6 linked regions of the Ovis aries genome follow. The protein of the gene in region 5 interacts with the protein of the main gene of each other region in a pairwise test. Links are inferred from orthologs where the notes say so. Each region holds a gene or a part of one and is shown on either strand. Other genes may lie near its edges. The genes, in order: UNC45A, MGA, MXI1, PLEKHF2, MAX and MXD3.

Region 1 (2,525 bases), on a different chromosome or scaffold from region 5:
ACTGACTCACTGGGAAAGATTGGAGGAGAAGGGCAACAGATGGACATGAGTTTGAGTAAACTCCGGGAGTTGGTGATGGACAGGGAGGCCTGGTGTGCTGCAGTCCATGGGATCACAAAGAGTTGGACAAGACTGAGCGACTGAACTGAATGCATTTATATCCATGTAACTAAATACTGATTTGCTCCCCAATGTTTACCCTTTGGCCTTCTAACAGGGATGAGCAACTCAGTGGACCTGGGGTGGGAATCCATTTGATCCCTTCCCTAAAGGTGGCTGTGTTGCTGTAAAGCTACCCACACTACTCAATCATGCCCAGCACCTGCTCCATACTCTGGCCCACTGCCAGCCATCCCTGCCCGCTGACAGAGCACCTACTTGAGTACCACATACTTTCATTTTTTTGCCCACACTGGCACATGGGACCTTAGTTCTCTGACCAGGGATCGAACCTGCAGCCCCTGCGTTGGAAACACAAAGTCTTAACCACTGGACAACAATGAAACCCCTCCACAAGCTTTTATTAGAGGATCAGAAGTGGTCCTGCTAGCATGTTCGGGTGATGCTCATAGCTGGTGAGGCTGCTTGCTGTGTCCTTCCCAAAGCCAGGAACCCACAGGCTGAATTAGGACATGCTGTCCTCATTCCCAGCTGTCTTAGTAGTACAGGAGAAAGTGCCCTGCTGCGTGTGGCCGGAGGCCAGAGGCTGTGCTGGGAGTGCAGGGCTGTGAATATGCTCCCTGACTCAGAACAGAGGACATCAAAGGGCAGCTGTGGAGCAGAGGCCAGGTGTTTGCATCCCAGCCCCCACCAGCCGGTCTGTCCTTGCTCCTTATGCTGCGATGGGTAGCGTGTGCGAGAGGCAGGCCCTCACTTTCCGTCCTGGCTGGGTTTGATAAGCCCATATGCCACTGCTTTCCCCAGACAAGCTGTGGCTGCCCTGGTGACTGGGCTCTCCTTGTCCTTGGCCAGCACCGACAGGATCTCCAGCACCTCGCTCTCCATCAGGGTGCTGGCGATCTCCCTCGAGGCCTCCACCATGTTCAGCACCACCACAGCACCCCGGTGCTGCAACTCCTGGCTGGGGCTCAGAAGCAGAGCCTGCAGGATCTCCAGCCAGTGTGTGGTCTGCCGGAAACAGGGCAGTGTGACCACGGAGCAGCAGGGAACCCCGGCGCAGCAGGGAACCCGGCAGCGAACACCACCTGCACACCCTGGGGCTGCCTCCCACCAACCAACCGCCAGCAGGCTGGGGGATCCTGGCCCACCTCCCCCAGCTCCACCAAGAAGAGGCACTGACCACTTGGGGGATGCGGCTGCAGAGCGAGGGCCGCATGGAGGTGAGCATAGCCAGGCCCCCGGCGGCCGCCCGCCGCAGCAGCTCGTCTTCCTCGCCGCTGTACAGCACCAGCAGCTTCAGCCGGTCGTTGCCCGTGGCTTCAAAGAGGTCCTGCACCTGCGGCCAGAAGCGGGGAGGGACCAAGTCAGATGGGGCAGAGCCCAGCTGGGCCGGGTACTCCTGCATGCCTGCCTGGAGTGACCGCCTGGACCAGCCCTCACCTCTTTGCTCATGGCCAAGTTACACATGCACTCTGTGGCCGCCCGGCGGAGCATTTCGTGCTCCTCAAACATGTAGCCCTCGATCATGGGCACGGCCTTCTCCTTCAGGATCTTCTGCCTGTGGGGCCGGGGCGGAAGCATCAGCATCACCAGAGTGTTAGCATCTGTCACTCCCTGTCCCATTTCCCCATACCTACAACAAGCCTTGGGCCAAGGATTTCCCTGGGCAACATGCAGAGACCGCCCTGCGCAGGTTTGAAGCCACCAGGCAGTGGTTTCCAGCCTTCTAACCCGGCCAAGGAGACAGCATGCGGGACCTTGGAAAACACTCTCAACTAGGAGTTAGGAGACCTGGGGGTGATGATGGCGATGCTAACATCTAACGTCTGAGCACTCACCCTGACCCAGCACTTGGACGATCTTACTTAATCCTCACCACAGGGATTTCCCTGGCAGTTCAGTGGCCAAGACTCCATGCTCCCAATGCAGGAGGTCCAGGCTCCATCCCTGGTCAGGGAACTGGACCTCACATGCCACAACTTAAGATCCTGCATGCTGCAACTACGACCTGGTGCAGCCAAATAATGAATGTATTTTAAAAAACCCTCACCAAAGCCCTATGGTAAAGGTGCTCGTGTGATTATCACTCCTGTTTTGCAGAAGAGGAGACCAAGACTGAGACGTCTCACCGTCAGTGGCGTAGCTGATACGTACTGCTTGGACACACTGCTAGGAGTCAGGCATCCAGGTAGTCAACGCTTTTACCTGTATTTTCTCATTTAATCCTCACTGCTACTCCATGCGATAGGTATACAACCATTCCATTTCACAGAGGGGGAAACTAAGGCACAGAGAGGTTAAGTTACCTGAGAGGTTACACACTAATAACCAGTGAAGCCAGGATTTGAAAGCAGGTGGTCTGACTCCAGGGCCTGCACTCTTACGGCCTAGGTCCTTGCCCTCTC
Region 2 (3,500 bases), about 40 Mb from region 5:
GTATCAGTGCCAGCTAACTTTCAAAATTGAATTCATTTGAAGAGTAGTTAGGTTTGATCTTAGCCAAAAGGCTGAGAAGCGATGAAGAATACTATTAGAAAAATAACTGTTACAACATATCTTGCTTTTTGATTTAGTCATGAGAGTTACTTGTTAAAACTTTACCCTTTGTTTTATAAATTTTTCATGAGAAATTGATGGAATATGTAAAAGTGTGATGTTGGTAAACCATTGAGAAGCTTGTTATGTTATACAGAGTGCTGTTGTTTTTTTTTTTTTTTTAATGAATGGCTCTTGAAATCTGATGTGATTTTACTTGGTTTTCAACAATCTCTTTTTCTACCTTTCCCTTCTTGAGTCTTATTTATGGATAATTCTGTCCTTTTTAACCCTCCCTACCCTCTCTCTCCAGCCTTGGCAACAGTTTTGAAGATGGCTCCCATGTAACGTCACCATTAAGCCCAAATGAAAACTTCAATGTTGTCATTAAAGAAGAGCCTTTGGATGATTATGAATATGAACTTGGTGAGTGCCCAGAAGGGGTCACTGTGAAACAGGAAGAGACAGATGAGGAAACAGATGTATACTCAAACAGTGATGATGATCCTATACTAGAGAAACAGTTGAAAAGGCACAATAAAGCTGATAACCTAGAAGCTGACCATCCATCTTCTAAATGGCAACCAAATAGCCCATCAGGTGTTGCTAAAGCGAAAATGTTCAAATTAGATGCTGGAAAGATGCCAGTAGTCTATCTGGAGCCCTGTGCTGTCACCAAAAGCACAGTGAAGGTTTCTGAGCTCCCTGACAACATGCTTTGCACATCTCGGAAGGATAGATCTTCTCTGTTGACAGAATTAGACTATTTGCCTGCGTACATTGAAAATTCTAATGAGACTGGCTTCTGCTTAGGCAGAGAATCAGAAAATGATCTTGGAAGACATTCACCAGATATCAGAGTAGTACAAAAATATCCCTCACTTAAAGAAGCTCAGTGGAAATACCCTGATATATCTGACATTGTTAACACAGAAAAACTACTTGATGGTTCAAAGAGTTCAGTTGAGGACTCGTTTTTAGGAAAAGAGGACTTGGGCAGAAAGAAAACTATGCTTAAGATTTCAGCGGCTCCTAGGACTGTGAATGCTAATCAGAATGCCCCTCCAAATGTCCCTGGAAAAAGAGGAAGGCCACGAAAACTGAAACTGTCTAAGGCAGGGCGGCCGCCTAAAAACACAGGAAGATCTTTAACTTCTACGAAGAACACTCCTACAGGCCCTGGGAGTACCTTTCCAGATGTGAAACCTGACCTGGAAGATGTAGATGGTGTTCTCTTTGTTTCCTTTGAATCAAAGGTAAGATTGTCATTTTCAGCTTTCTTTCTAAGGCCAAATAATCACCATTGAATTGTATACTAGCTGCTAGTTATCTTAGAATGTAGTTACTGTGAATGCATCCATTATATGAGGTTGTGTGCATGGGAAGGGGAGTATCTGAAATATTGGGTTAGCAGTATTAATCCAACGCTTCAACTAGATTATTTTTCTTTTAGATTTTTAGAGAAACCTAGTCTTTGTAAATTGACTACACAGAGGTTGAATTCTCTCTGCCTGTTCTTTTCCTCCCTCTTTGTTAATTGCTGAGTAATCTATCTTAATTAAACAGGGGCTTCCCAGGTGGAGATAGTGGTAAAGAACCTATCTGCCGATGCAGGAGACATAAGAGACGTAGGTTCGATCCTTTGGTTGGGAAGATCCTCTGGAGGAGGTCATGGCAACTCATTCCAGTGTTCTTGCCTGGAGAATCCCATGGACAGAGGAACCTGGCAGGCTACAGCCATGGGGTCACAAAGAGTCGGACACAGTTGGAGCAATTTAGCATGCACGCAGAAGAAATCAGTATACAAATTGCAATAAATGGGCATAAATACAGTTCTAAGTCAGGTAGCTGAGTGTATTATATTTAAATTTTTTGCTTTCTCCCCACTATTAAAGTGATGTTAATCTAGAACATTTAGAAAATAGTGAAAAGTATCAACATGGAAAAAATGCCCCTGGTTTACTTTTAAATCCTTAGAACTGACATGAACCACTTTTTTTCTTTCCTTTTTTCTTTTTAAATACAGGAAGCTCTAGATATTCATGCAGTTGATGGAACAAGTGAAGAATCTTGTAGTCTTCAGGCATCAGCTGCAAATGACCCAGGTATTATATAATAGTAAAAAAAAAAGAGAGATGGAGGATTTGGTTCTAGAAGTGAAAGAAGCAATGTGTAGTCTGCTGTAGTATATAGCAGCTTATTTTTATCATTGTTTTCTGAGTAGGTTGCAGAGCAAGAATTTCCCAGTTGGAAAAGGAACTGATAGAAGATTTGAAGGCCTTGCGGCACAAGCAGGTCATACATCCTGGTCTTCAAGAAGGTATAATTCTCTGAAAACTATGCAAGCCTTGTTTTTTTTTGTTGTTGTTGTTCTTTTTTCTTCTTGCCCTCTCTTTTTTCTCTCTTCCCTTTGTTCCTTCCCCAAATCTTTTCTGTTTTCCTCCTTTCCCCTTTCTTTTGATTTAATTTATTTTAGCCCTTCTCTCAGCTTGCATTTTTTTTTTTGTTCTCTCTGTTCATGATTCTTTCCCTTAACTAAAAAGCATGCCTAGGTCTTTTGTATCCTAAGAGAAACCTTTTCAGACTCAGAGGATATTGTTCTATCATTGGTGAAGCATAATATATTATGCATTAACAATGTATCATGGTAAGAAAGTGGTGTTTTTCTTTCTTATAAAGCAATTTTGGTTGCTTTTGTTTCTGGGGTTTTTTGAAGGTTCCTTTGTTTTGTTTTTGGAGGGGAAGCCCTACTTTTTTTATGTACTTGGTAATATATTTAGCTGTGTAAAGAGAATACTTATTTCTTATACGTGACTGTAAACATTTTATATATTTCTTATATTGCTTGGAGTGTAGTTTAAAATTTTCATCATTACCTATTTTGTTGAAATAATTTATCTTGGCCCTGCTTAAATGGTTTAATCCTTTTTTAAAGAATAGCACAATTTACCATACCTATGCCATTATAATTAACTACTGACTTTCCTCCCTGTTTGCACTGTAAACAGAAGGACTGTAAACCATGCCTCAACTTTTAATTTTCTCATATCTTTTAGGTATGCTTCTTGGAGTAGTTTGAGTTTTGACAGTCAATTTTCAAAGGACTGTCTAGGCTGATTCACATTGTATAGTACATCATTTATATGAAAGTCTAAGCATTATATACCAGCAGAGCATTGATTTGTAAACAGCCATTCAGTTTCTAAATTCAGTGGTAATGTTTGAACTTTTTGATTTAATGTGAGACTGTGTGACAGTATGGTGTTAAAGTATGTAAATTTCAATCCAAGTAATTAGGACTGGATACTGTGGATTGTAATGGAAAATCAATCATGTCATATTAGTCTTGCTGGTAATAATGTTTGCTGTCCTTTATTGTTTGGTTTCATTTCTGCTATTTT
Region 3 (3,929 bases), on a different chromosome or scaffold from region 5:
TACTCCAGCGGGGAGCCGGCCGGAGGAGGAGGGCAACCGGGCCGAGGGGCTGATTATGCACTCGAAGTTGAGGGCGCCCAGGTTCCCAAGCCCCTCTCGGGGGGTGGCAGCGCGGATGCCTCCGTAAGGGGACCGGGAGGAAGCCCCTTGGCTTGCACGGTCCCCGGAGCCCGGCTCCACTACCTCTGGCCCGCCCCGTGCGGGGCAGTCCGGCCCGGCGCGCCCGGCCCTTTGCTTACGTGACTGGTGGCCACGCCGGAGCCCCGGCACCGGGTAAACAAGGAGGTGGCGGCGGCCGAGGCGGTCGGGGAGCGAGGGTGGGGGCGGCGAGGTGGGGAACAGAGGTCTCCGATTGTCTGCGAGTGCGAGGGGCGGGGGACGCGGGACGCGGAGGAAGCTCCAGCAGCTTCTCGTACACCCCTCTGTAGAGGGGACCGGGCGGGGGCAAACCAGGTTTGCCACTCACTGCCAAGGTGCCCTTTTTGGGTGCACCCCCCCGCCAAAGCCGGCGCCACGGGACAGACTCGGGGGAATGGGGGACCCGGGCGGGGGGGGGTGGTTAGAGTAAGAAATCACGCCCCTCCCCCTCCAACAAAAGCAAACACACCAAACAAAACCATGTCTTCACCCACCTCCCCACCAGCTCTGACCCTACAGGCGAAGGCATACTGCCCCCCACCCGACACCCGGAATAATCGCAAACTGATTCGGCTGCAACCGCCGGCGATGCGCCTTTCTCGTAACCCAGGCACCCCGAGAAAACAGGGACAGAAGAAAAGAAAAGAACGCACCACCAACCTCCCAACACAAATCCTTGTTTTTGCCTTAAGCTACTGCACGATTTCGCTGCCATCACGCGGTTACTTTAACCCCGAAGGCCTGGGGTGTCGGTCATCTAGGGTGTTTTTGTGTTTGAGGGTTGTTGTTGTGTTTGGGGGGGTTAGGTTGCAAGACTTGACACGTTGCAATCGGACCATTTTTCTCCCTTTCTTTCTCTCACCCCCCCCCCCTCTTTTTCTCTCATCTCATTGATCTTCCTACTTGCTCGGACAGATTAAACAGCTAGCTTTTCTCTAGTCTGTGGCCTGTCCGCCTCGGCCCCTTCCTCCTCGCAGCTATTATTTGTGAGAACCGTGCTGGAGACGCCGCACTCGCGTGCCCCCGTTAGGGCGCTGAGGCGACGGCGTGGGGAGGATTGGGGGACCCAGGCAAAAATGAAACAAACAAATATGAAAAAGGAGGCCAGGCCGGGGTGGGGCTCCCAGCCCGCCCCCCCCACCCCCGCCCGCAACCATCTCTCTCCACCTGAATCTGGGGTGGGGGTTGGGGGAGCAGTAGAAAGCCACCAGGAAGGCATCTGCCTTCCTCGCCCAGCGCGCTCACTCGGGAGCCGTATCCCGGAAAATAAAGAAACAGCACATAACAGCCCACACCTTCTTCCACAACTATTGTTTCCTGCGAGATCCCAAAGTTTCCTTCTCGCTGAGTCCCCCTCGCCAAGTTTCCCGGGCGCAGCACCGCGGGTCCCGGGCGAGCTGCTGGCGGTGCTTGGTTTTGCCGGCCTGTTTCTTTGGGGGTGGGGGGAGTCGGGGGCAGGGGCACCTAGGGCAGCAGAGGCGCAGGGGCACTGTCTCCGTGGACGCGATGGCCTGAGCCCAGCCTTGCAGCGAGAAGAGAGGAAAAGGCAAAGTAGACAGGAGGAAGAAGCAGAGCCGAGCCAGCCGGAGCCCACGCCGTGGAGGGCTGTTTGCTTGTTGTTATCGTTGTCGTGTGTCTATGTGTTTTCTTTCTGGAACCGCCGAGCTCTGCCTACAGTTTCCAACTTTCGTCTTGTAATCCCCACCCCACCCAGGAACGAGCGACGGAAAAACAACACTTGTCTGCCCGAGAAGGCTCCGGGGGAAAAAAAAAAAAGGAGAGAGGAAAAAAAAAAAAAAAGTAAGAAACGCGACCTCGAAGAGATGAGCTCTCGGCTCAGTTGTCAGCAAACAACAACACTCCCCCGCTCCTCGGCCCAGCGGTTCTCCCACCCTCCCGGAGACGGACAGACTGACGCACCGACAGCACCCCCCCCCCCCCCCCCCACCCCCCCGCCTACCCCCTGCTCGTCTTTGTTACATCTTTAGCAGCTTTGTGCGTGCGTGTCCTTTCTCCGGTGTCATCGGCTTTACTGCCGAGGGCTAGATGTGAGTGTGTTGGGGAGAGGGGGGCTAAGCAGGCGTCAGGGGTCGCCCAAGTGGGCGAGGAAGAAAGAGCCCGGCGCCGAAGAGGAGCCAGGGCCCCCAAACTTACTTTTGTTTTCTTTCTCGATCTGCTCCAGGTAGCTGGCGGCCTCGAGCAGAATCTGCACGTTCTGCAGAAAAGTGTTGATGTGCTTCTCCATCGAGTTCTCGCTGGTGTTGAAAATGTCCGAGAAGGGGCACCTGAGCTTGGCCCCCGCGGGCTCCTCCGGCTGGGCCGGGGGCTGGGGCGCGGTCACGGCCGGGGGCGCGGCGGGGGCCAGCCCCGCGCCCTCGCAGCGCGCCTCCTTGCGCGGCCGCCCGCGTTTGCCCATGGAGGGACCGCGGGGTCCGCCGAGCTCGTCCTCTTTCGGGGCTGCGCGGCCCGGCCAAGCTCCGGGCCCCGGGGGAAAGCCGGCTGGCTGGAGCGAAGAAGGCGCCGAGGCAAGAAGGCGACCTGACTTCCCGAGCCTCGCTGCGTGCTGTTGTGTGTTTGAGTGTGTGTGAGTGTGTGTCGGTCTCGCTGTGGGTCTGTGTGTATGGGAGATTGAATGAACCTACAGGACAGACGGAGGCGCTCTGGCGCCTGGGTCCTAGTGCGAGCCTGTCGCCATCGGACTGGTCAAAATGAAAGGCGGAGACAAGCGAGGCAGGGACCGCCCCCTGCCAGTCCTGGCATACTACCCCGCCTCTCCCCAATCTTATCACATTGTAGAGCGTAGTATTTAAACCCAAATGGAAAAAATACTCGAGGGCTCGGAGCGTACCCACAGAAAAACAAACTATTAAACTGTTGTTCTTTTACTTCACGTGAAAATAATACCAATGCCTGGCACCACATACTAGATTCCAACGGTAGCTGCTATGACTTAAAAAATAAAAGTCCAGTCCAAAAAAATCATACACGTTACCTCAAGTTCTCTCCCCTCAATAGACACACTCCTACATACACACACACACACACACGTACACGCACACGCACACACACAGAGGCACAGAAATCTGCCTTCACAGGGCCAAATGAAATCCCCAGGCCACCAAATCCCAGTTACAAATTTACTCACTCTTTCTTTCTCCCTTCAAATGCAGAGTTATTTTCCAGGAAGGGGGAGGAGATGGAAGCGTCTCTCCCCACACTCCTCTTCCCAGCCTTAGTCCAGCTGTGCAAAGCTCACAGTAGGGAGCCTCCACACCTGGCTCTCTTTTATTTTATTTGGCAGAAAGGCGGACGTGGCAGCCCAGGAACTTCCCACCCCTACCGTGGCTGAATTCCACCTTTTGGTTCTGAAGACCCCTACCCTAGGCGACACTGTTCCATTGCCAGTGCAGACCATTCAGGGTCTGCAGGAACCATGGATGCTTTCCAGGCCTGGGAAGTGTGGTGGCAGTCAGGGCCGTTGGGGAATGCCATAGAGAGGCATTCAAGCCCCAGCTCTGCTGCACACAGACTGGACTGTGAGTGTGCCTGGGCAAGTCCCCTAACCTCTCTCAGCCTGTTTCCCCATCCATGAAACCTCTGATAAGATTCATGAGTTGATTAAATTATATCTGCAGTCAGCATGCTCATAGTATGATCTTTTTCTTCCAATACAGACCCAGATAAGAACCTGAGTCCCCTACTTGGCAGCTAAAAGGAGAAATAAGTTATAGGAAACAAGACTCTCCTGCACTTTGTTGAAAAACATCTGTGCAATAAGCCTATCTAAATAT
Region 4 (4,211 bases), on a different chromosome or scaffold from region 5:
TTTGTGATTTATGGGTTGAATGGAGAGAAAATTATGGGAACAAGGAATTAACCCCAAATTTTACAGTAATTTCATTACAGAATTACAGACCACCACCTAGGGAGGGTTTGCAATTTAAAATAGCACTGTGAGAGTGTATCTACGGAGTACATTTTATTCACTTAAGCCAACATACACCTTGCTATTAAGCACGCAGCTGGTGTACAAAGCTGGTTCCAAAGATAAATTCATAAATAGAAAAGCAATGTTTACGTTTTCCAATAAGCAAGATGTTCTAAAACGAAATTCTAAGACAATTCTAGCAAAACAGTAAGTGACAAGAGAAATTAGGGTGTTCCATCAAATAACTTAAATGTATAAACATGATCTTCAAAATTTTAAGGCATTAACTATTTCTACCCAGTGCAAACACTAAATACAGTTGCACTTTAAAAGTATGATTACTATCTTTTTGCTGATCCACTGCTGCTGCTTCTTTGATTATATCTACTTGGAAATTTCATAAACATTCAAGTTCTGTACCCCTGGCCCAAAATTAGTTGAGTTACTAAGGTAAAATCTCAAAAAAAAAGGACGGGGGGGGAGGGGCAATTAGAAAAGATCTAACTACTTTCACTCTTAGAAATGCAACTTAAAAAGAAATTCATGAAGTATATTTACAAAAAGTGTATGTGTATTCATCCATTCAAGCCTTTTCTGAGCATCATGTTCTCAGCACCCTGAGGATGAAGAGGCAAATCAGAGCTCATGTAATGCTTTCTGTTGAGGAAGTGCCATGGCAGAAAAATGTAATATTTACTGGGATGCATCTGGATAGATAAGTGACTTATTCTTGGGGAGAAAAGGGAGTGAGATAAGGAGAACTGTGCAAAAAAGTTTTCAAGAGCATAGGCTGAGTATTTTTAAGAGGAAAACTCTCAGTACATAAAACCTTGGAAATGAGGGAAATTCCTAGGAAATACACACACACTCACTAAGGAACTAAATTAAAATCAGAAAGAGAAGCTAGGACGGAGAAAACAAAATGGACAGAAACTGCTCCACGGGAATGATTTAAGTATCCTGCAAAGTTAAGAAAAATGAGAAGGTTTCAGTTATAAGACCTCAGTTAACTACCAAGTTGTTCGCTAGATTTGTGACATTAGTTAAATCACCTCTATTCTGGGTAACTTTTCATCCAGAAAAACATATGTATAATGGCAATCACCTTACACTTGAAAAAAAAAAAAAAAACTAAGAATATTAGCAATCAAATCTGAGCAGAAGTTCTATTTTTACCTACAGATTAAGAAGAGAAATTCTCCAAGACATGTTGAAGTATTTATCTTGTTTGTGATTAAGAATGCTCTCAATACAATTAACAGAAATTTGGAAGCCCAGATGCCTTTATTAAAACTAGTAATTGACATTCATTTACTGGGCTGATTCAAGCTGAATCTTTTTTGATGCCTTGGTCAGTGCACCAGTTTTATTTTTTGAGGCGATTACATGTGCTTTCCAAATACGTAACTTAATACCATTCACCTCCAATGCTGGGAGGACCCGAAGAGATTAAAAACAGAAGCCTTCGTTAATACTGAATTAACCCGAGGACCCCATGAGCTACCGGAGTACAGAAAAATGTAAATGCTCAGAACACGGTAGGCATGCACCTTTATAGAACCAAACGGAGGGGGAAAACTTCACAATGTCAAGATCACTTCACCTTATTCTTAAGGGAACAACACATGCCTTTCTCTCAGTGAACGGTCCTGGCTTTCTTAGCTGAATTTCTTCAGTAACGCACTAAAAAATCAACAAATCGAGTCTATGAATTACAGAGAAGAGCTTGGTTGTCTGTAACCTTCATACTGCTCGTTCTTTTCACCGCACACTCCCAAGTTACTATTACAACGTAGTAAGAGCGCACCGGGTATTCAAGTCGCATGAACAGCAAGCTGTCGGCCTCCCAACAAATATGTTAAAGAAAAACTTTGGCATACGACTTTAAAAGACTCCAAATAAGTAAGGCGTCAGACTCAGCCCTTCTATCAGGGCAAATCGTGCGGTGCCATTTTTTTTTAAATTTTTTGCCTCAAACCCCATAAAAAGACGCTGCTCAAGTTACAAGGTCTCTGATGCCCAGACCCTTCAAACTTTCTGGACAGAAAGATGCTGGCACCCCAAGACGCCAGTGGCGACGACGGACACCCGTCTTCACGCCCTCACAACTTCTCGCCGGACCTCGGGGTCCCCCTCCCCGCGGGCCGGACAACCACCCGCGCGGCCCTCCCTGCGGCCCGCGAGCCCTCCGGCGGGCGGCCGCGGCCCCTTAGGGAGCGGGGAGCCGCCCGGGAGCGCCCCGTTTCTCACAGACCCCAACATGGCGTCGGCCGCCGCCGCCGCCGCCGCCGCCGCCCGAGACGACGACACCTCCCCGCGCCGCCGACGGCCCGGGGACCGCGGCGGGGAAGCGCAGGGAAAGTTTCGCTTCTCTTCTCCCGGCCCTCCGGGGGGCCGCCCGACGACCAAGCCCGGGGTTCACCTACCCAGCCGGGCGCGGACGGCCGCAGCGGCGAAGGTCCGACTTCTCCTCTTCCCGGGCGCCGCGCGCGGACTCTCCTTGCCTCCCGCCCCAGCTTCGCAGGGTGTGCAGCCAGCGGCCCCGCGCAGCCGGCGCGATCCGGACGCGGCGGGCGGGCGGGCGGGCGTCGCAGACGCTCGCAGGTGACCCTCCCGCCCCTCCAGTCGAAGCCCACAACGGCCGCCGGGGCTGGCCTCTCCCCTGCGCGCGCGCGCAGAAGCGCGCCGCCACCCACACGCCGGGCGCGGGCGCGGGCGCGATCACACCCCCAGCGCTCGCTCCCCACCCTTTCTGGCCTGCTCTCTCGCCCCGCCCGGGCCGTCCCGCGCGCCGGGCCCGAGGGGGCGGGGCCAACGCGGAGGCCACACCCGCCTGGGAGGCTGGGGCTCGGGATTGGCTCCTCTGCTCGGAGTTGAGGGCGCGCGCCCTGACGTGGATTGGCTACACGTGCGACGTCTTTTACCTGGGCTGCCTGGCGCAGGCGAGCCCTCTGAAAGGACAGTTCACCTCCTAGGGAAGTGCTTAACGACGCTATAAAAATGGAAGGAGGGCTGGGCCCCTTTCCTCTCACCCCGAACGGGCCTCTGCGGGGAATTCAGGAACTTTCCGCGACCGGGAAATGAAAGCTTTGGATTTAGCTGCCCAAGGCGTCCGGCTAGACGTGTTTGCTACATCCTCTTAGCGCGCCCGATCCTGCCCCCTCACGTGTTCCACTTGCTTGCCCTAAAAATCCTACCGCTTGAAACACAGGAAACGACGGCGGCAAAACATACCCCGCATACTCCGCACAGCCTTTTAAGTGATGCGTTTATTCCCTGACTTAGAATTCTGGTCTTTCCCCAAATTTTCTGTGATACCACAAACGTACTTCACACACCTGGAAACAGTGATGATGGTATATAAGGTTGAACGTGCCCCTTCATTTATACCGCAGCAAAGTGTGCTGGTGGGTCCGTGGAGACGTAAAAGATGCCTAAGGTAGATAAGGACTGTGGGCCTGGTGAGGGGTGAGGAAGACTGCATATTCACTTCAAACAAAAAGTGAATAGGCAGAAATTAGATTTGAGTAAATTTTATCTTTCCCGCTGATCTATTACAAGATTTTGAAAAAATACCTCTTTTTCTTTTATATGTTTTCTTCATTTTTTTTGTTTTTTCTTTTCTTTGAAATAGTAACTTTTTTTTTTACCTTTGATTGTAGCCATCAGAACCCACGCCACATGAAAGAGCACCCACCTAGGGAACATAAAGCAGGTCTTGTTTCCAACCAACTTTCTTTTGGTCTGGGATTTGTCCTCCCCAGATCTTCCACCTGCCATCCTGTTCTGTTTGAATATGTCAGAAACAAAATTTTTTTAAAAAAATTGGTGGCTAAAACAAACCTGGCAAGGATGAATTTTTAAAATAGGAAAATAGGAAATCACCATCACAGAAACCTTTACAAGTGTTAGCTGTAGTTATCTGTAGACAAATACAAATGTTCCTTTCAACCATCACCATACCCCAACTTAATTTTGCCTCATTCCTCCTCTGCATACAGAACAGCCTCTGTCAGTGGAAAGAAGGATGGATTTACCTCCAAGATTCCTTTAAGTTTGAGATTAGGAATTGCTATGTCAGATCAGTTGTCTAAGGTCTAGTCTAAAGT
Region 5 (3,500 bases):
GACAGATAGATGCCAAATGCCATCTCTTAGCCCTCTGAAGTTTTTGGTCTAAGAACCAGCCCAGCTTAACTACCTTATCAATAGATGACTAGAGGGAATGGTAAGTTAGATAAAGGACTAGGTACTTAAATATGTTTAATTCCTTCAAGCTATTCAGATAGCTGACAGAAGGTACCTGCAATTTTCTTGCTCTAATGCCATGTGATACCTTCTAGCCTCAGGTGATCTGGTCATTCCCTCAGTTTCCCCGTAAATTCCACATTATCGCCGAAGTTCAGCAGACACTCATTTTTACAGAGAATCCAGATGTAAAATTAGGAGAGCTTTAGCTGTGTTCCAGGCATCTGCCCTAAAAACAAGCACTATGCCATGGAGAACCGTGGCTGTGATGGGAACCCTGTGTCCTGTTCGACAGAGCTGTAGGTGAGGTGTTGTGCTTGAGAGACCAGGAAGTGACTAAAATTACCGCAGCTGCTCCCAGCCTCTTTTTCCTCTGTCATGACTCAGACTTTTAGGATTAGATACTAGAATTTCAAGTCCTTTCATTCCCGTAAGTCTTTTCTTTATAGACTTTTATCTGAACATCTTGTCTAGTACAAAGATTCATTTGAGGCTTTCTTGTGCTAAGCCAATTTGTTCACTCCTGTCGCTTCATTTTTAAAATTGCGGGTTCTGTGTCTGGGTAGGTTAAAGCTACCTGAACTTCCTATGTCCAGACTTCCTCTTTAGGTTAGCTCAGTGCAGCCTCATGTATTGGGGGTAAATTCTCAGAGTACAGTATTTCCACTAAGTCCCGAAGTGTGGATGTGACGTTCCTGCTTTGGGTTAAGCCAGCATTTGTGCTCCATTGGAGGGACTGCCCCTGTAATGGGGATCTGCCGAAGCTCCCTGCTTTGGGTTAAGCCAGCATTTGTGCTCCATTGGAGGGACTGCCCCTGTAATGGGGATCTGCCGAAGCTCCCTGCAGTGTTCACCCGCACTGTCTTCCGTCTGAACCTAGTGTGTTTTGCCATCCCTGATTTGTTGGCTGTCTTTGCCCCTCTCAGCTGATTGTTCTTTGTGATTCTAAGCAGGACAGGATAAGGACTTTGGTCTGTGGGTATTTAGCTACTGCCAAATAAGCATGACATGCCACAGGTGCCTGAAGAAATTTATTCAGAGTATGTGAGTGTCAGAAGGTTTGCTGTCTAAGAACTACCTTTCTGGCAGCCTGTGAAGGGGAGGCCTTGGCAGAATAGCACTTGGATGCACTTGAAAAAAAAAAAAGGAGCTCAGAATGCAGTTGGCGTCTATATCAGCTTTGTCATGGTGATCTCAGATTCATGCATCTGGGTTTTCCAGAAGTTTTAGTTCCTCATATGTGATTTGGCAAGCAGGTCTTAAAACTAGTACCCTTTAGCAAGGTGGAGACCAGAGCAGACTCACGGTGATGTTTTCGCATGAAAGAAGTGCTGTGCCAGTGACCTGACTCCTTTCCTGGGTCCCCGCCAAGGGGAATCTCTTACAGTGGGGGTGATCACCTCTTATGAAGGGGCCCACTGCAGCTTTTCCCTGGCCACCTCCTAGCCGTGGGACTGGCAGCTGTTGTGTCACATAAGTAAGTTGTGGGAGAAAACTGATGTTCCAGGAGAGTCACACTTTGTCCCCGTGAATAACTTTTATTTCACTTATGCATGAGCTGGATGCATCGAGCTCCTTTGGATGTTCCTGTCGCAAGCCTTGCTCACCCCTTTCTCCCCCTTTAGCAGAGCCTAATTCTGGAGACTCCTAACTGCCCACCTCGACAAATCCTTCCCAGTCCAGTCACCTGGGACTGCGCTGACAACACATACTTCCAGGCTGTACCCGCTCAGCTGTGCCCAGCAGGAGGAGTGCCACTGCTAATGTGCTGTTTTTCCCATTCTTCCAGGCTGACAAACGGGCTCATCACAATGCACTGGAACGGAAACGCAGGGACCACATCAAAGACAGCTTTCACAGTTTGCGGGACTCGGTCCCCTCACTCCAAGGAGAGAAGGTGAGTTTATTGAGAAAGCTGAGGAGCCACCACTAGCTTAGAACGCGCTGTGGGGCTTAGCAGGGTGCTCACCTTTCCAGAAAGAAATGGAGTCTGGGATATTTGGGTGACATGGTTTCCTTCATCTTTGATTCTTCGGGGAGTCATCACACACCTTACTTATTCTCTAGTTCATCCTTAACAAACGATGTCAGATGTAATGGAGCTGCTTGTTAAGACATCAGTAGGAGCTATCTTTTAAAATTAATATTACATATAAAAAATTACTCATTCAAGAAATCATTACAACAAACATACAGTAGTTTGGGATAATGCTAAGGATTTCTGAGGTCAGTGATTCTGTGGACCTCCATGGAAATTCCTTTCGTATGGTTCAAAGTGGTACTCATTTTAAATGAAACCTCCCAGGAATGTATGTAAACCCATCTGGATATCAGTGATCTCCCAGTCTAAGAGTAGTTATTATTCCAAAGGCATATATAGAGAGAGCATTTTAAATGTGAACTTGAGTGAAGAGACCTGTTCACACAAAATGAAAGAGAAAAATAACCACTATTCTTCCCTCATCCCCCTACCCCATTGGTGGCCTTCCAGAAACTGTTTTCCCTGGAGAGGTAGGCACCAACTGTTTTTACGTCTGAAAAACAAAGTCCAAAGCTTTGACTAAAAAGCCTATAGGTTAGGGTCAGTCCTTGAAATTTGGAGAAGATATGTGTTTGCACAGTTAGTTCCATCCTTGACACACAATATAACTGGCTGCTGTCTGCAGCTGTTCAGTGGTGTAAGTGGCAAATTTGGAAGAGGACCTGTTTTTTTTATTTGTTTGTCTGTTTGGTTGTTTTGTTGGTTCAGTAATGCAGTGTTTCAAGAAGCAACCATGTTAAGAAAAACCACTGCTCTCAGGTGTGCTTTGGGCTGTCTAGATTTAGCTCTGAGGTAGGAGTTTTGGGTTTGTTTGGTTATCCAGAACTAAACCTGGGCCAGTGAAACTGGGTGCCCTGATGGTCTCATTCTGTTTATGCTGCCGCTCTGGTAAGCCATGTGCTGTGTGCCTAACCTAGGGTGTGATGGTCTCATTCTGTTTATGCTGCCGCTCTGGTAAGCCATGTGCTGTGTGCCTAATCTAGGGTGTGATGGTCTCATTCTGTTTATGCTGCCGCTCTGGTAAGCCATGTGCTGTGTGCCTAACCTAGGGTGTGATGGTCTCATTCTGTTTATGCTGCCGCTCTGGTAAGCCATGTGCTGTGTGCCTAACCTAGGGTGTGATGGTCTCATTCTGTTTATGCTGCCGCTCTGGTAAGCCATGTGCTGTGTGCCTAACCTAGGGTGTGATGGTCTCATTCTGTTTATGCTGCCGCTCTGGTAAGCCATGTGCTGTGTGCCTAACCTAGGGTGTGATGGTCTCATTCTGTTTATGCTGCGCTCTGGTAAGCCATGTGCTGTGTGCCTAACCTAGGGTGTGATGGTCTCATTCTGTTTATGC
Region 6 (3,996 bases), on a different chromosome or scaffold from region 5:
AGGAAGCAGGGAGTCCAGAAGGAGCAATCCCTAGGTCCCGCCCATGGGACAGCCAGCACCCAAGACACACATCCCTCTGAGAACCAGGTCAGCCAAACTCCACGTGAGACACCGGAGCCCACTTTCCAACCAGGGTGTTATTCAACCATAAGGCACCATGAGTACAGTGCTAACAGTTTCCACACCATTTTATTTGCTGCGTGGCACCTCCAGCCTTCTCTGCCACAGCTGCCTGTGCCCACAACAGGGCCAGGCAGAGCACATGCGCACTTGTTGCAAAGGAATCCAAGTCAAGAGACACAGGCCTCAGTTCTGAATCTGCCTCTCATCAGCCCGCTGTGCTTCCATTTCTTCCTCTGTCAAAAGAGCCAGGAGGGCAGGAAAAGGCCTCCACTGTTTCCAAGTCGCTTCTAAGCGCCCCCACTCCGTGGTGATGCCTCGTCTTGAGTCAGCCCATCCCACTCCCATCCACCAGGGGGCGCTGAGCTGAGCCCGGGAAGGAAAGGTCACTGGCGTCCTCTCAGCCCTTTTCCCCCTTCTGGCCTCTGGACCTGCCTCCCAAAGCAGGACAGGCCCCTCAGAACAGGAGGCCTTGAGGATGCAGGAGAGGAGGAGTGAGAAACAGCCCTCTCCAGACTGAGGGATCCTTATAGTGACCCATCACAGAATGTCCCCCATACAGAGGAGGAAATGAAGTCCAGAGAGGCTACCTAACTTGCTCCAGGTTTCACAGTTGGGATTCAAGTAATAATTGTAATAACAAGTGAACATTTATTGGGAAAACTTGCTTAAAGCCTCAGAACAATCCTCTTGGGTTACTTCCTGCTTTTCTTCCTACTTAAACTTGGAAACTAAAAGCACAGAGCCCAACGTCACGACTTCGCTCCTAGTTCCTCCCAGTCTCTCCCTATTACGCTTCTCCCAGCATCCTGGCAAGCTGGCCCTGGGCCCCAGGGTAGTGTCTTACCTGGATGTGCATTCTAGCCCTGCGCAGAAGGCTCAGTGTGGTGTATCGGACACAGTCAGCCCCCAGGGGCATCTGCTGCTTCAGCTGCTCCAGGCATCGCTTCAGCTGGGCCCTCCTGCAGAGGGAGGGGTCTAGAGGGCAGTGCCAGCCCAGGCTCATTGGCCGATGAGGGATGGCAGGGGAGGGAAGGCCAGAGGGAGGCTGTTCCTGGGGACTGGTGCTCTCAGGGCAGGGTGGGGACTCACCTGCGCTTCTCCAGCTCGTTGTGCACAGATCTGCCAATGCCAGAGAGGATGGGGTGAGGGGGTGTCAGTGTCCACACCCTCAGTCTCAGAGTTCCCAGGGGCTCAAAATTCACTACAGATGTGTGCCCCAAACTAGCCCACTGTGGGGACCTTGCGCTGGCCTCAGACAGCTGAGTCCGAGGCAGAGGCAGAGGCAGTAAGGAGGTCAAATGCTGAGGGAGGTCTGCCCAGGTGATGTGGGGTCCAAACAGAGTCCCCTAGCCACAATCAGGAAGGGCTTCCTGAACACAAGTGACATTTGAGTTAAGCCCAGCCACACAAGTTACCCAAAATGAGTAGTGGGGGGAGAGGCATTCAAATTGAGGGGTAATGGGTGTGCAAAGGGTTGAGAGGAGAGAAAAGGAGAATGCCTGTGAAGGAAAGCAAGTGGTTTCTTTTAGGAGTGTGAGTGGAAGCAGGACCCAGAACTATTATTCACAGTTCCAAACACATCAGAGGTGCTTGAGAAATAGTCCTTGAACGAAGTGTGTGTTCGGAGGATGGGGAAACGGCAGGAGTCTGTATGCCTCCAGAGCAAGGTACTTGGCCCAGAAGATGCAAGCAACAAGAAGGAAGCGGGCAGTGGAGAGACCCGATGAAGGACGGCGCCCATCCCCCTACTCCCCGCTGCCCCCGGCCCTCCTCACCGCCCACTGTCCAGCGCGCCAGGAGCTTGGGGAGACCGCTTCCTCCTCCTGTGGACTGGACCTGGACTCCGGTGAGGGCACAGGGACGCATAGCCATGCTCGGCCTCTGCCAGAGAGAGTCCCCGCCAGCGTCAGGCTAGTCCCAGCGGGCGCCCCATGCACGGCACCGTCAGAAAGGGATTTTGGGCTACAGGGCCATTTCCCCAACCCCTCCAGCCCACTGCCCGCGGACCCCTCTTAAGTTGAGCGCAGCGGTGCCGCAAGACTACTGCCCTAAAGCCATGCATTCTTCAAGTCTGGAGTCAAGCCCAGCCCAGGCCAGTGTCAGCGAGGTCGCCGCCTGGAGTCCGACCAAAGGTTCTTCCTCACCTCTCTCGCGGCGCTCCAGGAACTCCGCCGCCTGCAGCAAGACTTGGATGTTGCTGGCCACCGGTTCCATGTCGGCGACAGCCGGAGGCGGGAGGGCCTGTGGTGCAGACCGGAGCAGCGGCTACACCACTTTTGTTACAATGTAACTGACACGGGGCAACAAACACAGGCGCCCGGCCCGCCCCCAAGACGCCCCGCCCCGGGACAGCCTAGCTCTTGGCCCCGCCCTTCTGGAACGCGCCCTTGAACCGCAGCCCACCCTCCGCCCACCTGCCCGCCCCCTAGGACTCCCGTAGGGCTTCCACCAGGCCTGGCCCTCGGGCGAACGCCCGGGCTGGAGTGGGGGTGCCGCGTCTTGCCGCTTCGCTCAGCGACCCCGCGCCGATCACTTGGCGTTTCTGGGCCTCAGTCTCCAGCACAGTACTGGTGACTAGATGCCCGCACGCTGAATGGTGCCCTGGGGGCCGGTGGCCCACCCGAGGCCCGGGGCTTGGCCGCTGCACGTGGGCGCCTCGGAGGCGGGGCCGGCGGACGCCCTCGCCCATTTGCTCTCCGCCGCTTGTGGCTCGCTGACGTCACCTTATGGGAGGAGCAGGAAGGCCTCGGAGGCACTATTGGCTGCGTGCGGCTCCGCCCTCTCCCGCCGCTGGTCAACATGTTCGGGCGGGAAAAGGAGCAGGTTTCAAATTTGAAAACCCCGGCGATGGGGGCGGGGTTAAGCAGGGAATGGGGCCGCAATGCGCAAGCGCCGGGGGCCAGAGCGCGGATCTGGCTCCCAAGCTGCTGCTGCTACTAAATCGCTTCAATGGTGTCCGACTCTGTGCGACCCCGTAGACGGCAGCCCATCAGGCTCCTCCGTCCCTGGGATTCTCCAGGCAAGAGTACTGGAGTGGGTTGGCATTTCCTTCTCCAGTGCGTGAAACTGGAAAGTGAAAGGGAAGTCACTCAGTCGTGTCCGACTCTTAGCGACCCCACGGACTGCAGCCTACCAGGCTCCTCCGTCCATGGGATTTTCCAGGCAAGAGTACTGGACTGGGGTGCCAGTGCCTTCTCCGGGCTCCGGAGCTGGGGGGTTATTATCCTTGCAGGCTTCGCCTCTGCCCCCGTAGCTCCTCGCTGATCTTCAGCTTCCTACTGTGGCGAATGGGAATAGTCTCCCGGCTTCTCATCTGCCGGGAAGCTGTTGTTGCTACGAAAACGTCAGAAGGGTACCGATTTATGAGAACCAGCTGGCTAGAGTCCTGGGTTCTGCAGTCATCAGAGTTGAGTTCTCTCACCGCTGCTTCTCAGCTGTGTGGCTCGGGAAGTGCCCTCCTTCCTGTAAGTTAGGGAAGCCCTGCGAAACCGTTGTCATCGAAGACCTGGGCATTGAAGGATCAGAGCCGTGCGCAGTTTGTAGGAGCTGCTGATTTTGTAACCTGACACAGGCTTCTTCCTCCCACAGAGCCCATGGTTGCCTTGCTGCTAAGTCACTTCAGTCGTGTCCGATTCCGTGCGACCCCACAGACGGCAGCCCACCAGGCTCCCCCGTCCCCAGGATTCCCCAGGCAAGAACACTGGAGTGGGTTGCATTTCCTTCCCCAATGCATGAAAGTGAAAAGTGAAAGTGAAGTCGCTCAGTCGAGTCCGACCCTCAGCGACCCCGTGGACTTCAGCCTTCCAGGCTCCTCCGTCCTTGGGATTTTCCAGGCAAGAGCACTGGAGTGGGGTGCCATTGCCTTCTCCATGT

The links.
Region 1: the proteins of MAX (region 5) and UNC45A interact in binary tests that used the Homo sapiens proteins (3 or more experiments, as listed by UniProt). The two-hybrid records come from large-scale screens. The link is inferred for Ovis aries from reciprocal best matches to the Homo sapiens genes MAX and UNC45A.
Region 2: the proteins of MAX (region 5) and MGA interact in binary tests that used the Homo sapiens proteins (3 or more experiments, as listed by UniProt). The link is inferred for Ovis aries from reciprocal best matches to the Homo sapiens genes MAX and MGA.
Region 3: the proteins of MAX (region 5) and MXI1 interact in binary tests that used the Homo sapiens proteins (3 or more experiments, as listed by UniProt). The link is inferred for Ovis aries from reciprocal best matches to the Homo sapiens genes MAX and MXI1.
Region 4: the proteins of MAX (region 5) and PLEKHF2 interact in binary tests that used the Homo sapiens proteins (3 or more experiments, as listed by UniProt). The two-hybrid records come from large-scale screens. The link is inferred for Ovis aries from reciprocal best matches to the Homo sapiens genes MAX and PLEKHF2.
Region 6: the proteins of MAX (region 5) and MXD3 interact in a two-hybrid assay, tested with the Homo sapiens proteins (4 studies listed by BioGRID). The link is inferred for Ovis aries from reciprocal best matches to the Homo sapiens genes MAX and MXD3.

What each region holds. Positions count from the first base shown.
Region 1 is NC_056071.1:21,027,041-21,029,565, forward strand, and holds the end of UNC45A (protein unc-45 homolog A), read right to left. Parts: intron 1,679-2,525; coding exon 1,561-1,678; intron 1,457-1,560; coding exon 833-1,456; 3' UTR 501-832; downstream 1-500.
Region 2 is NC_056060.1:35,312,770-35,316,269, forward strand, and holds part of MGA (MAX gene-associated protein), read left to right. Parts: intron 1-412; coding exon 413-1,355; intron 1,356-2,125; coding exon 2,126-2,204; intron 2,205-2,323; coding exon 2,324-2,419; intron 2,420-3,500. UniProt on the Homo sapiens protein: Functions as a dual-specificity transcription factor, regulating the expression of both MAX-network and T-box family target genes. Functions as a repressor or an activator.
Region 3 is NC_056075.1:30,309,547-30,313,475, reverse strand, and holds the start of MXI1 (max-interacting protein 1), read right to left. Parts: upstream 2,801-3,929; 5' UTR 2,555-2,800; coding exon 2,293-2,554; intron 680-2,292; exon of another isoform or gene 1-679. UniProt on the Homo sapiens protein: Transcriptional repressor. MXI1 binds with MAX to form a sequence-specific DNA-binding protein complex which recognizes the core sequence 5'-CAC[GA]TG-3'. MXI1 thus antagonizes MYC transcriptional activity by competing for MAX.
Region 4 is NC_056062.1:82,115,588-82,119,798, forward strand, and holds the start of PLEKHF2 (pleckstrin homology domain-containing family F member 2), read right to left. Parts: upstream 2,801-4,211; 5' UTR 2,529-2,800; intron 1-2,528. UniProt on the Homo sapiens protein: May play a role in early endosome fusion upstream of RAB5, hence regulating receptor trafficking and fluid-phase transport. Enhances cellular sensitivity to TNF-induced apoptosis.
Region 5 is NC_056060.1:75,286,682-75,290,181, reverse strand, and holds part of MAX (protein max), read left to right. Parts: intron 1-1,909; coding exon 1,910-2,017; intron 2,018-3,500. UniProt on the Homo sapiens protein: Transcription regulator. Forms a sequence-specific DNA-binding protein complex with MYC or MAD which recognizes the core sequence 5'-CAC[GA]TG-3'. The MYC:MAX complex is a transcriptional activator, whereas the MAD:MAX complex is a repressor.
Region 6 is NC_056058.1:36,485,779-36,489,774, forward strand, and holds the start of MXD3 (max dimerization protein 3), read right to left. Parts: upstream 2,801-3,996; 5' UTR 2,538-2,800; intron 2,419-2,537; exon of another isoform or gene 2,365-2,418; 5' UTR 2,338-2,364; coding exon 2,268-2,337; intron 2,005-2,267; coding exon 1,899-2,004; intron 1,243-1,898; coding exon 1,213-1,242; intron 1,083-1,212; coding exon 968-1,082; intron 1-967. UniProt on the Homo sapiens protein: Transcriptional repressor. Binds with MAX to form a sequence-specific DNA-binding protein complex which recognizes the core sequence 5'-CAC[GA]TG-3'.